Arabidopsis thaliana: one gene and its partner. The protein of the gene in region 1 purifies or fractionates together with the protein of each later gene. This does not show direct contact. Each region holds a gene or a part of one and is shown in the gene's direction. Other genes may lie near its edges.

Region 1 (6,197 bases):
TTTCCTATTAAAGCAATGTACGTTAATGTTGTGTTTTTTTTTTAGTTTAATAATAATACTAGTATTTTCAGATTTTTATATGATTGTTAATAAAATTATTTCGAGTCATCCATAATGGTCCTGAACAACTTCATAGCCGTGTGTATAAATATGTGTTTGTATACAAAAGAGAAAATAACAAATGAAATGAAACGACGTTTTTGTTTTCTATTGGGTAAGAATTAAATTTCTAGTAAATCTGTTATAAAATTTACATACATAGAGTGTAATAAACAAAAATAAGGGAGCAGTTTGGACAAAGAGTTTGCAGTGAGTCTGATAAAACGACACAACCTGATTCAAGTCTAACCATGCAACTAAATTGAAGACCTAGAAAAATTAATGTTAATTGAGTTTCAACTAACCATTTCAAATTTGTGTTAAGCTAATTTATTTATCTTAATCAACTAACGTAATTTGTTTTTAAACTGCTATTTGCTAAATTCATTATGTAGGAGTAGCCGAGTAGGACCCTGAATGGTACGCTCAAAAGAGGTAGCAGCGTCATCGAACTTAACGTTAGGACACCCTATGATTGATCGTATCAAATGACCAAAATTAAAAAGATGATTGAGTAAACCAATTAATTTTGGTATATAAACAATCTTTTTATTATCGTACACATTTTTGGGATGTGATGTGACTAATGAAAGGTTTAAATATATTTAAACATGATAAACGCAGAAACCACCATATAGAGGAGAAACTAGAAAAATATAATTTGTCAGTCATGTGTCTAAATCCACACCTACTTTTTTCTCATGCTTTTTTTCTTCCTGCAAATATTGCATTTCCTTTGCCTCTCTCACACATTTCCTCTGTCACTTTCTTTTTTATATATTTTTATTTCGGAATTCCATTACCGTGAAAAAGCTTTGTTTACAACAGTAATTTTGTTTCAAATGCTTTCTTGTTGTCTATTTTTATCAATTACTATGCCTCTGCTTGAATAACTTAAAAACACAAGTGATGTTAATTGTGTTATTGTAGATCCTATGAACAAATTTAATTTATAGACGTGTGAAGTTATAAATGAAAGATATCATTGAGTGAGTGATCACCGTTGCAGATAATGTTTAAAGAAAAAAAAAAGGAACAGTTCCTTGTTCATGTCATCATGTGTTGAAAACGGAAGGAGGGAAAGAAAAATCTATCACTCTCAGATTCAGAGCCTCACGTGGGGTAAACTTAGAATTCTATTTTTAGGTACGAATCAAAATATACGACCCGTCGCTTTTAACATGTCATTTATTATACCTTTCACTCTCATTTCCTCCATGCTTTTTTTTTAAAACGTAATTAGACCTATTCATTCTCCATAATATAATACATAAATACAACTTATAAGATTAATAGCCTCGTACACTAACATTAAAGAGTAAATAACCGTTTGTATTTTCCATCTTTTGATTAATGATAACTATAATTTATGAAGAACATCCATAAACTCATGAGTTTTATTTTGAACGCAACATCCATATTTAGCTTTACATTCATTTTTTTAATAAGATTTCAGTCATAGTTCGAAAAATGAATGTTGGGTTGGTTCCGATGGTAAAGCGAGCCGTATCAACAAAAAAGGCCCAAATAAAAAGTGGTATACTGTTGGGCCTAAAGATGAATATACAGAAGCCCATATTAAGACAATTCGGCCCATTCAGCATTGCGTAGCAATCGAATTGATATTTAGCAAATCGAGGAAAGCAATTGACTAACTAGATAATACTGATAAGTGGGTCCCACATAATTCTGACAGCTTAGAGATGGAGAAGATCATCACCGTTAGTCCAAGTTGGGTCAATAAGGCTTACGCCGTTGGATATCAAGATATCCGTTAGATCGCATACACGTGGATACTGTTCAATACTCCTGACCGCAGGGGATAAGACACGTGTTATATTAACGAAGAGTAAGAATGGTTTCTAATAATTTCTTCGCTCCCTTTCTTCTTCTTCTCTCCTTCTTTGAATTTTGATTTTGGTTGAATGGAGATATCAGAGAGAGTTCGAGCTCGATTAGCTGTTCTCTCAGGTCATTTATCGGAAGGAAAACAGGATTCTCCAGCGATCGAGCGATGGTGCACGTCGGCGGATACGAGTGTCGCACCGCTTGGATCTTTGAAGGGAACACTGACGATCGTCGACGAACGCACCGGAAAAAATTATAAAGTTCCGGTCTCAGATGATGGTACCGTTAAAGCCGTTGATTTCAAAAAGGTTTAACCCTTTTTCTAAATGACCATTTTCCTATCACTGTGGGATTTTGAGCTGAGAATTTGCTTTGTTGCGTGTTGTTTGGCTTGCAGATAGTGACGGGGAAGGAAGACAAGGGGCTTAAGTTATACGATCCAGGTTACTTGAACACGGCTCCTGTTCGATCTTCGATTTCTTACATCGATGGAGATGAAGGGATCCTTCGTTACCGTGGCTACCCAATTGAGGAAATGGCTGAGAACAGTACTTTTCTGGAGGTGGCTTATCTTCTCAGTAAGTGTTTTACCTTTTAACCTTACTACACAATTTCAAGTGTTATGTGTATCGAATTGGACATTGATGAAAAGTTTTCTCCTTTACTATATTTTCTGGCAGTGTATGGGAATCTGCCCTCTGAAAGTCAGCTATCTGATTGGGAGTTTGCAGTTTCTCAGCATTCAGCTGTGCCACAAGGTGTATTAGTGAGTCTCTAATCCTTGGTTGATGGATTTCAATTTCGATTTGTAAAATGGAGTTAGCCTGTTCTTTACTAGTAGCCTATTTTCTTGTCTGGTCGAACAATAATTTGTCAAGACTGTTCTATACATGTTGTTCTGAGGATTGTGTGCTGTACTCAAAGCTATATATTTCTCATATCTAACTCCACTTACTTGATAACTTTTGTGCAGGATATTATACAGTCTATGCCTCATGATGCACACCCAATGGGAGTTCTTGTGAGTGCAATGAGTGCGCTTTCCATCTTTCATCCTGATGCTAATCCTGCTCTTAGGGTAGGTTTAACCTTATATTACTTCTCTAACAACATGTCAGGCCTTGTCACTCGCTAGTTTTAGCTCTTTTGAAATTGTCCGTATAAACATGTTGACTGATACTCTATTGGGTGCAGGGCCAGGATATTTACGATTCAAAACAAGTTAGAGATAAACAAATTATCCGCATTATTGGAAAGGTATTTTTTTGTTATCAGTGGTTACCTTACTTCTTCCTATATTGTGTCACGCATAAACATATTTGGACTCTGAATTTCATGAAGATCTGATGCAACTAAACGTGTTTGCGATTTGTGCAGGCACCAACAATTGCAGCAGCTGCTTATCTGAGGATGGCAGGAAGGCCTCCTGTTCTTCCTTCAGGAAACCTTCCTTATGCAGATAATTTCCTCTATATGCTTGATTCCCTGTATGTCTCTGCTATCTCTTTCTTCTTGAATTAGTTAGAAACTCAACTTTTAGATTTAGTTTTAGATCTTGACGCTTCAGAGAACTTGAAGCCTAGTTATTTTTTTACTGTGTACATAACTTGTAGCGTGCCATTAACACACTTCTTACAGGGGAAATAGATCCTACAAACCTAATCCTCGGCTGGCTCGGGTGTTGGACATCCTCTTCATACTGCATGCAGAGCATGAAATGAACTGCTCCACCGCTGCTGCTCGGCATCTTGCCTCTAGGTACTTATCTTTGGTTGGAATCTTAGTGACCTTGATAGGAGATATATTGATTAGGAAATGTCTTCTTGTAGCGGTGTTGATGTCTACACTGCTGTTGCTGGAGCTGTGGGAGCGCTTTATGGTCCACTTCATGGTGGTGCAAACGAGGTATGCTATTTATTCTCATGTCTTCATATGTTACATCTTCTGATGTATTTTCATGCTCCATGGTCTTTGAAATTCATGTCTTTGGTTCCATTAGGCTGTGCTTAAGATGTTGTCAGAGATTGGGACTGTTGAAAATATTCCAGAGTTCATTGAGGGTGTGAAGAACAGGTAAAATCAATTCTTGAAACTATATGCTTCCGTTTCCGAGGTTTGTGACAAGTCTTTTCATTAAAATTCTCATCCCTTTGACATCTTAGGAAGAGGAAGATGTCTGGTTTTGGACACCGTGTGTACAAAAACTATGACCCTCGAGCTAAAGTCATCAAGAACCTGGCTGATGAAGTATTTTCCATTGTTGGAAAGGATCCTCTAATTGAGGTACGCTATGTCCACGAAGTTCAAGCTTATACTACAACTTGATGCCCACCTTTTCGATTTAGTGTAATTTTTCATGTTTCCTTAAAGCCAATGTGTTTGATTCTGATGTCTGCAGGTTGCTGTTGCACTTGAGAAGGCAGCTCTCTCTGACGATTACTTTGTTAAGAGAAAGCTGTATCCAAATGTTGACTTCTACTCTGGATTAATATACAGGTAAAAGTTTGAATGCATGTGCAGTATCCATAACTTCCTCTCAACTTCATCTAAATCTGCAAACTTGGACCATTACAACAGGGCAATGGGATTTCCACCGGAGTTCTTCACGGTCTTATTCGCGATTCCTCGCATGGCTGGATACTTGTCACATTGGAAAGAGTCACTGGATGATCCTGACACCAAGATCATGAGACCACAACAGGTATAGTTAATCTCTTTCCAAGAATAATAAGAGAAAGATTTTTCTTTGGATCAATTTGAAACTTGGATGGTTCATTGGAATATTAAATGTTGCAGGTGTACACAGGCGTGTGGCTGAGGCATTACACACCAGTGAGAGAGAGAATAGTGACGGATGACTCGAAAGAGTCAGACAAATTGGGTCAAGTCGCGACTTCAAATGCATCAAGAAGACGTTTGGCTGGATCTTCAGTTTAGACGTAGGCCCTTTTAGGGTCCATACTATACATCAAACCACACCGCAAAGAATAAAAGAGATTGGTTTCTCTAGCCTAAAGCTAAGATACTTGATCATACTCGAAACTTAGATTTCTCATTTTGTAGGCACAATATAGACTTGATCTATATTTGCTTCAATCCATCTTCTAAGGGTGTTTGTCCGCCTTGTTTGTCTTCTTATCAGAACGTGTTTATTGTATAAAATGATTTATGGTTATGGATTATTACTCTAATTTCTATATCGAATGCTTCTGCAGAGACGTTTGTTGTGAAATATCTCGGCCAAAGCAACAAGTAGAAAACAAAGCACTTTATTAAATCATTGTAAAAACTTTTGAAGATCTATTGTTACAAACTAGGATATCATCAAGCCAGAGTTTCAAAACTCGGAGTTCTTGAAACTTGAAGTAGCCATGTAAATGATACACTCGAAGAAAAAATGATCTGTAAAAAAGCTATATAAGTTACATTACATGTTTTTGTCTGGTGGCTGCATTTTTTGAAGTTGAAGGAGCAGTCCCAGGAAGGCCGTTGATCCTCCTTGGAGGTAGCTTTTGTCCACCAGAAGGAACGCTTCTTGAAGTTGAAGGCGCATTAGCGGATAAGCCAGTCCTCTTTGGAGCAGATATACTATACAAGACATGATCCGTCAAACCGATCAAGTTTGGGGGATAAAGAAGTGGATCCATATAGATATATAGATACTGAGGACATGTTACCTGAAACTCTTCTGAATCGTGTTCTTTTTAGTTTCAGTAAGATTTCGTCCACCATAAGGAATGCTTCTTGAAGTTGAAGGCGAATTCGCAGATAAGCCAGTTTTCTTTGGAGTAGAAATACTAGACAAGACATGATCAATCAAACCGATCAGGTTTGGGGGATAACGAATGTGGGTTGATATAGCTAAATAGATGCTGGGGAGATGATACCTGAAACTCTTCTGAATGGTGTTCCTTTTAATCGCAGTAAGATTTTTCACTTCTTGACTGTAATCAAAACCATCAGAAGATTTGAATTAAGAAATAGATTGTTGCTATAAACCTTATAAGTAAGACTGGTGATTGTGCAACTTTGAAGTGTACCTCTTCAACAGATCTATTTTTGCCTTCTTCATGATGTTGCTCTTCACATGCCCAAGATTGTAACCTGATGCACTATTACCTGCAACAAAATCGTCCATATAACCATTAGATTACAAAAGCCAGAGGGAAAAAAAACTAATATATGCATGGAGCATTTGCATACTGTTTTTTGGCAAGATCTGACCAGATGCTGCAAGAAATCATTTAGAT
Region 2 (5,188 bases), on another chromosome or scaffold:
ATATGACAGCTGAGGTTTCAGTTCTACTTTATTCCCATGTTTCCTCTAAGGCTTGATTGGTATTTCTTCCAGGGTATAATGACTCCGCAGCTATCTTCATTACTGTTTCTCGTCGTGGGAATATCAATGGCTCTTACTCCTTGGTTAGCTGCTGGCGGCCAATTAATTGCGTCTCGATTTGAGTTACAAGATGTTCGAAGTTTATTACCAGTTGAAAGCGAGGTACTCCTTCACAACACTTTAAAATAAGTCATTTATCACCATTCCTAGTTTCAATTGTAAATTTAAAACAATAAAGCCATGATTGACCTCAATATCCTTCCGAAGCTCATGCATTCTTGGGGTAAAAATGACTGATCCTTTACTTTCTGAATTTACTTGCAGACGGATGATTTACAGGGTCACATCATTATTTGCGGATTTGGACGAATTGGGCAGGTTGGTATCGTTATCTATAAACTTTGTTGCGAAAACAAACTCCTCTAGAAGTTTAGATAGTTTGATTTAGAGAATAGTTTGGTGATATATGATTAAATTCGTCTTTGACCGCTGCTTTCTAAATGTTAAACGCAGATAATCGCTCAGCTTCTTTCTGAAAGACTTATCCCATTTGTTGCCCTCGATGTCAGCAGGTAATGTAACATGCTTGCCTTGTCTTGCTCAATGTATCTAACCAGCTCTTTATTTGTCTCATTTCGCACCAAAAATCTCTTATTTTACAGTGATAGAGTAGCAATTGGTCGTTCCCTAGATCTTCCAGTTTATTTTGGAGACGCTGGTAGTAGAGAGGTAAGAGTAGAAAGCTGATGAAACAAGTCAAAAGTATAACCACACATCATCCAAAATTATTGACGTTGTTTTACCTATACGTGCAGGTACTCCACAAAATCGGGGCAGATAGAGCATGTGCTGCGGCTATTGCTTTAGACACACCTGGAGCAAATTACAGGTGTGTCTGGGCTCTTAGCAAATATTTCCCCAATGTCAAAACCTTTGTCCGTGCACATGACGTTGATCATGGTCTCAATCTTGAAAAAGCCGGCGCTACCGCTGTAATAACTTCCACAACTTTTCTATTCTCCTTCTGTCATTGCACAACATTTTCAAAGTAAACTGATTAAAATCTCGATACAAAAACTCGTTAGGTTGTTCCTGAGACGCTGGAACCAAGTCTTCAGTTAGCAGCTGCTGTTCTTGCACAGGTACAAGAGATAATTCTTGTAGTCATTAAGTCACCAACAATGTTATTTGGGGTATTTGTTAAACTTGTCGGCTTCTTTTTCAGGCCAAATTACCTACATCAGAAATAGCAACAACGATCAACGAGTTCAGATCTCGTCACTTGTCTGAACTAGCTGAGGTATATATTTGGTCTATTTAAAAAACTACAATTCTTCTTACTCTCCGGTTTAATGGATCCTATGATGGTACAGCTATGTGAGGCAAGTGGAAGCTCTCTAGGTTACGGGTTCTCAAGAAGTACGAGCAAACCAAAACCACCATCACCATCTGAAACATCTGACGATAACCAGATTATTGAAGGCACACTCGCTATCTAACCTTTTTTCTCGCTTCTGGTAAGACCACACAATTTCAACTTCTTTTGCTTAAAACTGTACAGAAACCAAAATCCTTATTTTGAAGAATCTTAGCGGAGAAAAAGTAACAAACTCTCAAAATTTTGATGGGATGATGATGTGTTGAAATTTCTCTAGTTTCTTTCCTCTGGGGGAAAAACAAAGGCAAATAATATTTGTATTCAACATATTGGGTCTAATATGTGAATCTATCCCTCATTTATCCGACACTATTTGTCTGTACTTTCTACCTTTGCTTCACCCTTCAACAATCTTGGCAATCGCAATAACATGACTTGCTCTGATACCACTTGTAGTACATTTAGCTTTGATTGTTGGAGCTCTCGAGTTAAATCACAAGGGTATATATATCTAGTGTGGTACTTTAGACCGCAAATAGAGAATAGACCGTAAGTCAACGAACTTACATGTATTGTTTATATATTGATCAGTGTTAATTACATGATTAATCTGAGTTTAAGACGACTAATCAAATTAAAAAGCTACTAAAAATATGAAGCGGTCCGATTGGATTTATTAAAAAAGAAAAGAAAACGAAAGACTGGTATAATAAAACCGGAAAATTCAGGTGAAATCAACAAACCGGTTTCTTTTGTGATTTGAATGAACTTAAACCCTTGTTGATATCAAAAGAAGAAACCCTAGTCTCTCCGACTCTCCGTAGACGACGAAGTTATCTTCTTCAATTCATCGTCTCTTCTCTGCTCTGCTTTGCTCTAGATCACAAATTAAAAGACTTCATTAGTCTTCCTGTCTCCACCATTACCTTCTTCCTTTTTAACTCAGCCACGACGAGCAGACTATTGTTCTGTTTTCCTTGTATAAAAATGGCGTCGATGATGTTTACCGATTGCTCCTCCACCACGACGTCGCGTCTCATCCATTTGAACCGAAGCAGCGGTACTTTCCTCCTCCGTCAATGCGTCGGCCAACTCCGTTTACAGACCACTGCTTCTGGCCGTGGCTGCTGCATTCGCTCCTCTTCTTCTCCCATTTCTTCCATTTCCGGTAATGATTAAACCTTTTGACTTAATTGAGCACCAAATTTGAACTTGACATCGATTGAAATTTGTAGACAATTAGACTGTTCTTCCCTGGAAAATTGAGTTTCTTTATTCTCATGTTGGAATCATAAATTTTTTTTTTTTTTTTTGGTACAGCTGATACAAAATCAGAGGGTGGCGCAATTGTAATAGATGGAAAGGCTGTGGCAAAAAAGATTAGAGATGAAATCACAATTGAAGTTTCAAGAATGAAGGAATCAATTGGTGTGATTCCTGGTTTAGCAGTAATCCTTGTTGGTGACAGAAAAGATTCTGCAACTTATGTGAGGAACAAGAAGAAAGCTTGTGACTCCGTTGGAATCAAATCGTTCGAAGTTCGTCTAGCTGAAGATTCATCAGAAGAAGAGGTGTTGAAATCTGTATCAGGATTCAATGATGATCCTTCTGTCCATGGAATCCTTGTTCAGTTGCCTCTGCCATCGGTAAACAAAGTCTAATAACTTTCTTCGGAACTTAAATAAACAGTGAATTACAATAGTGTTTTGGGATGTTGTTGCAGCATATGGATGAACAGAACATACTGAATGCGGTTAGTATAGAGAAAGATGTTGACGGATTTCATCCGCTAAATATTGGACGGCTTGCCATGCGTGGAAGAGAACCCTTATTCGTTCCTTGTACTCCAAAAGGATGCATTGAGTTGTTGCATAGATACAACATTGAAATCAAAGGAAAGAGAGCGGTTGTTATCGGAAGGAGTAACATTGTCGGTATGCCAGCTGCTCTTTTACTGCAGGTAATGATGATGATACCTTCTTTAAGATGCCGTTTTTTCTGGTTGTGACATTCGAAAGTTAGTTACATGTTTGGTCTTTATTGTTGTGTTTTGTATTTGTAGAGGGAGGATGCAACCGTTAGCATTATCCATTCAAGAACCAAGAACCCTGAAGAAATCACAAGAGAAGCTGATATTATAATCTCAGCTGTTGGACAGCCAAACATGGTCAGAGGAAGCTGGATAAAACCGGGCGCAGTCCTCATCGATGTTGGGATTAATCCTGTTGAGGTGAGTGGAATTTTCTTTTTGACATATGGTCATGGCGTAATTCAGTGATATAATAAGTTTCAAATCAACCAGTATGCAACATTCATACATGTACATAATATGAATTGCAGGATCCAAGTGCTGCGCGTGGATATCGATTGGTTGGAGACATTTGCTACGAGGAGGCTAGCAAAGTTGCATCAGCCATCACACCTGTTCCTGGCGGTGTAGGACCAATGACCATAGCCATGCTTCTATCCAACACTTTAACATCAGCTAAGAGGATTCACAACTTCCAGTGACGTCACTTAAAAAGAAGATTGCTGGCCTTTTGGGAAACAAACAAATCGTACTCTGTTTTTTGAAGCCAATGATTTACTTTGGTCTTTAAAGAAAGTTATCGTTTTGTTCTATGAAACAAAACATGTAGTTTTTAAGTCACATAAATTGTCTTCAACATTGTTTGTCTCTTCTTGGTATTTTGAGTCAGAACTAGTTTTAACTTATCCCAGCTATGATATATCCCAGCCTCACCCATCGGTCTCTTCGTCATTATACTTTATTTATAACTACCTTTCAACGAAGGTTAATTTGAAACAAGAAAACACAGTCACTTGTTCTACATTACTTTTGTTAAACCCTAACTTGAGCTCGAAGCCACGACCACTGTTCTGTTTTCCTAGTAAAATAATGGCGTCGTTGATGTTAACCGATTGCTCCTTCTCCACGACCTCGCGTCTCATCGATTTGAACCGCCTCAACGGTGCTTTCCTGCCCCGCTGGTGCGTCAGCCAACTCAAGCTTTCCCACCACTGCGCCCGGACGTGGCCGCATGCGCTCCTCTTATACCACTGTGCCCGGACGTGGCCACATTCTCTCCATTCGCTCCTCTTGTATAGACTAAACCTTTTCATCCAATTGCTTACGTATTTTCAGATATCCAACTCTTAAGATTTTACTTTTCTGTTCAGCTGATGAGGCGATGGTATTTGATCAAACGGCTGTGGAACTAAGTATCATGCAGGAGATCAGAGTCGAAACTTCAAGAATGGAGAAACTAATCAGTCCTGGTTTAGCAGTAATCCTTTTTGGGGACAGAGAGTTCTCTGAAGAATATAAAGAAATTTAAACTCTAGCATCTTTGCTCCAAAAACAAACTCTATAGAGTTTAAATTTCTTTCTTCTTTTTTACAAAAGAGGGATTATAGTATTATACACCATAAACCCCGTAAAATTAAAAGAAGGTATTCAGTTACCAAAATCGGATTTAGTAGCATTTAGTTTTTTTGAATTTTAAATGTACACCATAAACCCCGTAAAATTAGTCAAAACAATTAATGTGATTTATGATAATTGTAATTAAATAAAAAAGATATTACTCGATTAGTAATTACTGATTAACTGAATCATTGATCTCATTAAACAATTAAAGAAAGATTACTCGATTAGTTAGCATTTAGTTTTAATTTTTTTAATATACTAAAAATACCAATCGGAAATTCAGTTACCAAAATTAGATTTATTAACATTTACTTTTTGAA

What was found. The genes of interacting proteins can lie anywhere in the genome.
Region 2: the proteins of CSY3 (region 1) and EMB3127 fractionate together in Arabidopsis thaliana (co-fractionation; one large-scale study listed by BioGRID). This does not show direct contact.

Annotation. Positions count from the first base shown.
Region 1 is NC_003071.7:17,801,819-17,808,015, reverse strand, and holds CSY3 (citrate synthase 3), read left to right. Parts: upstream 1-1,942; 5' UTR 1,943-2,024; coding exon 2,025-2,255; intron 2,256-2,344; coding exon 2,345-2,525; intron 2,526-2,627; coding exon 2,628-2,713; intron 2,714-2,920; coding exon 2,921-3,025; intron 3,026-3,141; coding exon 3,142-3,204; intron 3,205-3,324; coding exon 3,325-3,434; exon of another isoform or gene 3,435-3,585; coding exon 3,586-3,705; intron 3,706-3,776; coding exon 3,777-3,852; intron 3,853-3,946; coding exon 3,947-4,020; intron 4,021-4,109; coding exon 4,110-4,230; intron 4,231-4,345; coding exon 4,346-4,443; intron 4,444-4,524; coding exon 4,525-4,648; intron 4,649-4,743; coding exon 4,744-4,884; 3' UTR 4,885-5,175; downstream 5,176-6,197. Other genes in the region: AT2G42780 (transcription elongation factor B polypeptide), read right to left, coding at 5,370-5,535, 5,625-5,744, 5,835-5,891, 5,988-6,066. UniProt on the Arabidopsis thaliana protein: Peroxisomal citrate synthase required for the fatty acid respiration in seedlings, citrate being exported from peroxisomes into mitochondria during respiration of triacylglycerol (TAG).
Region 2 is NC_003075.7:258,026-263,213, reverse strand, and holds EMB3127 (Amino acid dehydrogenase family protein), read left to right. Parts: upstream 1-1,924; 5' UTR 1,925-2,425; coding exon 2,426-2,606; intron 2,607-2,758; coding exon 2,759-3,084; intron 3,085-3,161; coding exon 3,162-3,398; intron 3,399-3,500; coding exon 3,501-3,668; intron 3,669-3,778; coding exon 3,779-3,949; 3' UTR 3,950-4,227; downstream 4,228-5,188. Other genes in the region: KEA2 (K+ efflux antiporter 2), read left to right, coding at 73-222, 385-438, 574-632, 723-789, 876-1,052, 1,146-1,202, 1,286-1,360, 1,434-1,559. UniProt on the Arabidopsis thaliana protein: Catalyzes the oxidation of 5,10-methylenetetrahydrofolate to 5,10-methenyltetrahydrofolate and then the hydrolysis of 5,10-methenyltetrahydrofolate to 10-formyltetrahydrofolate.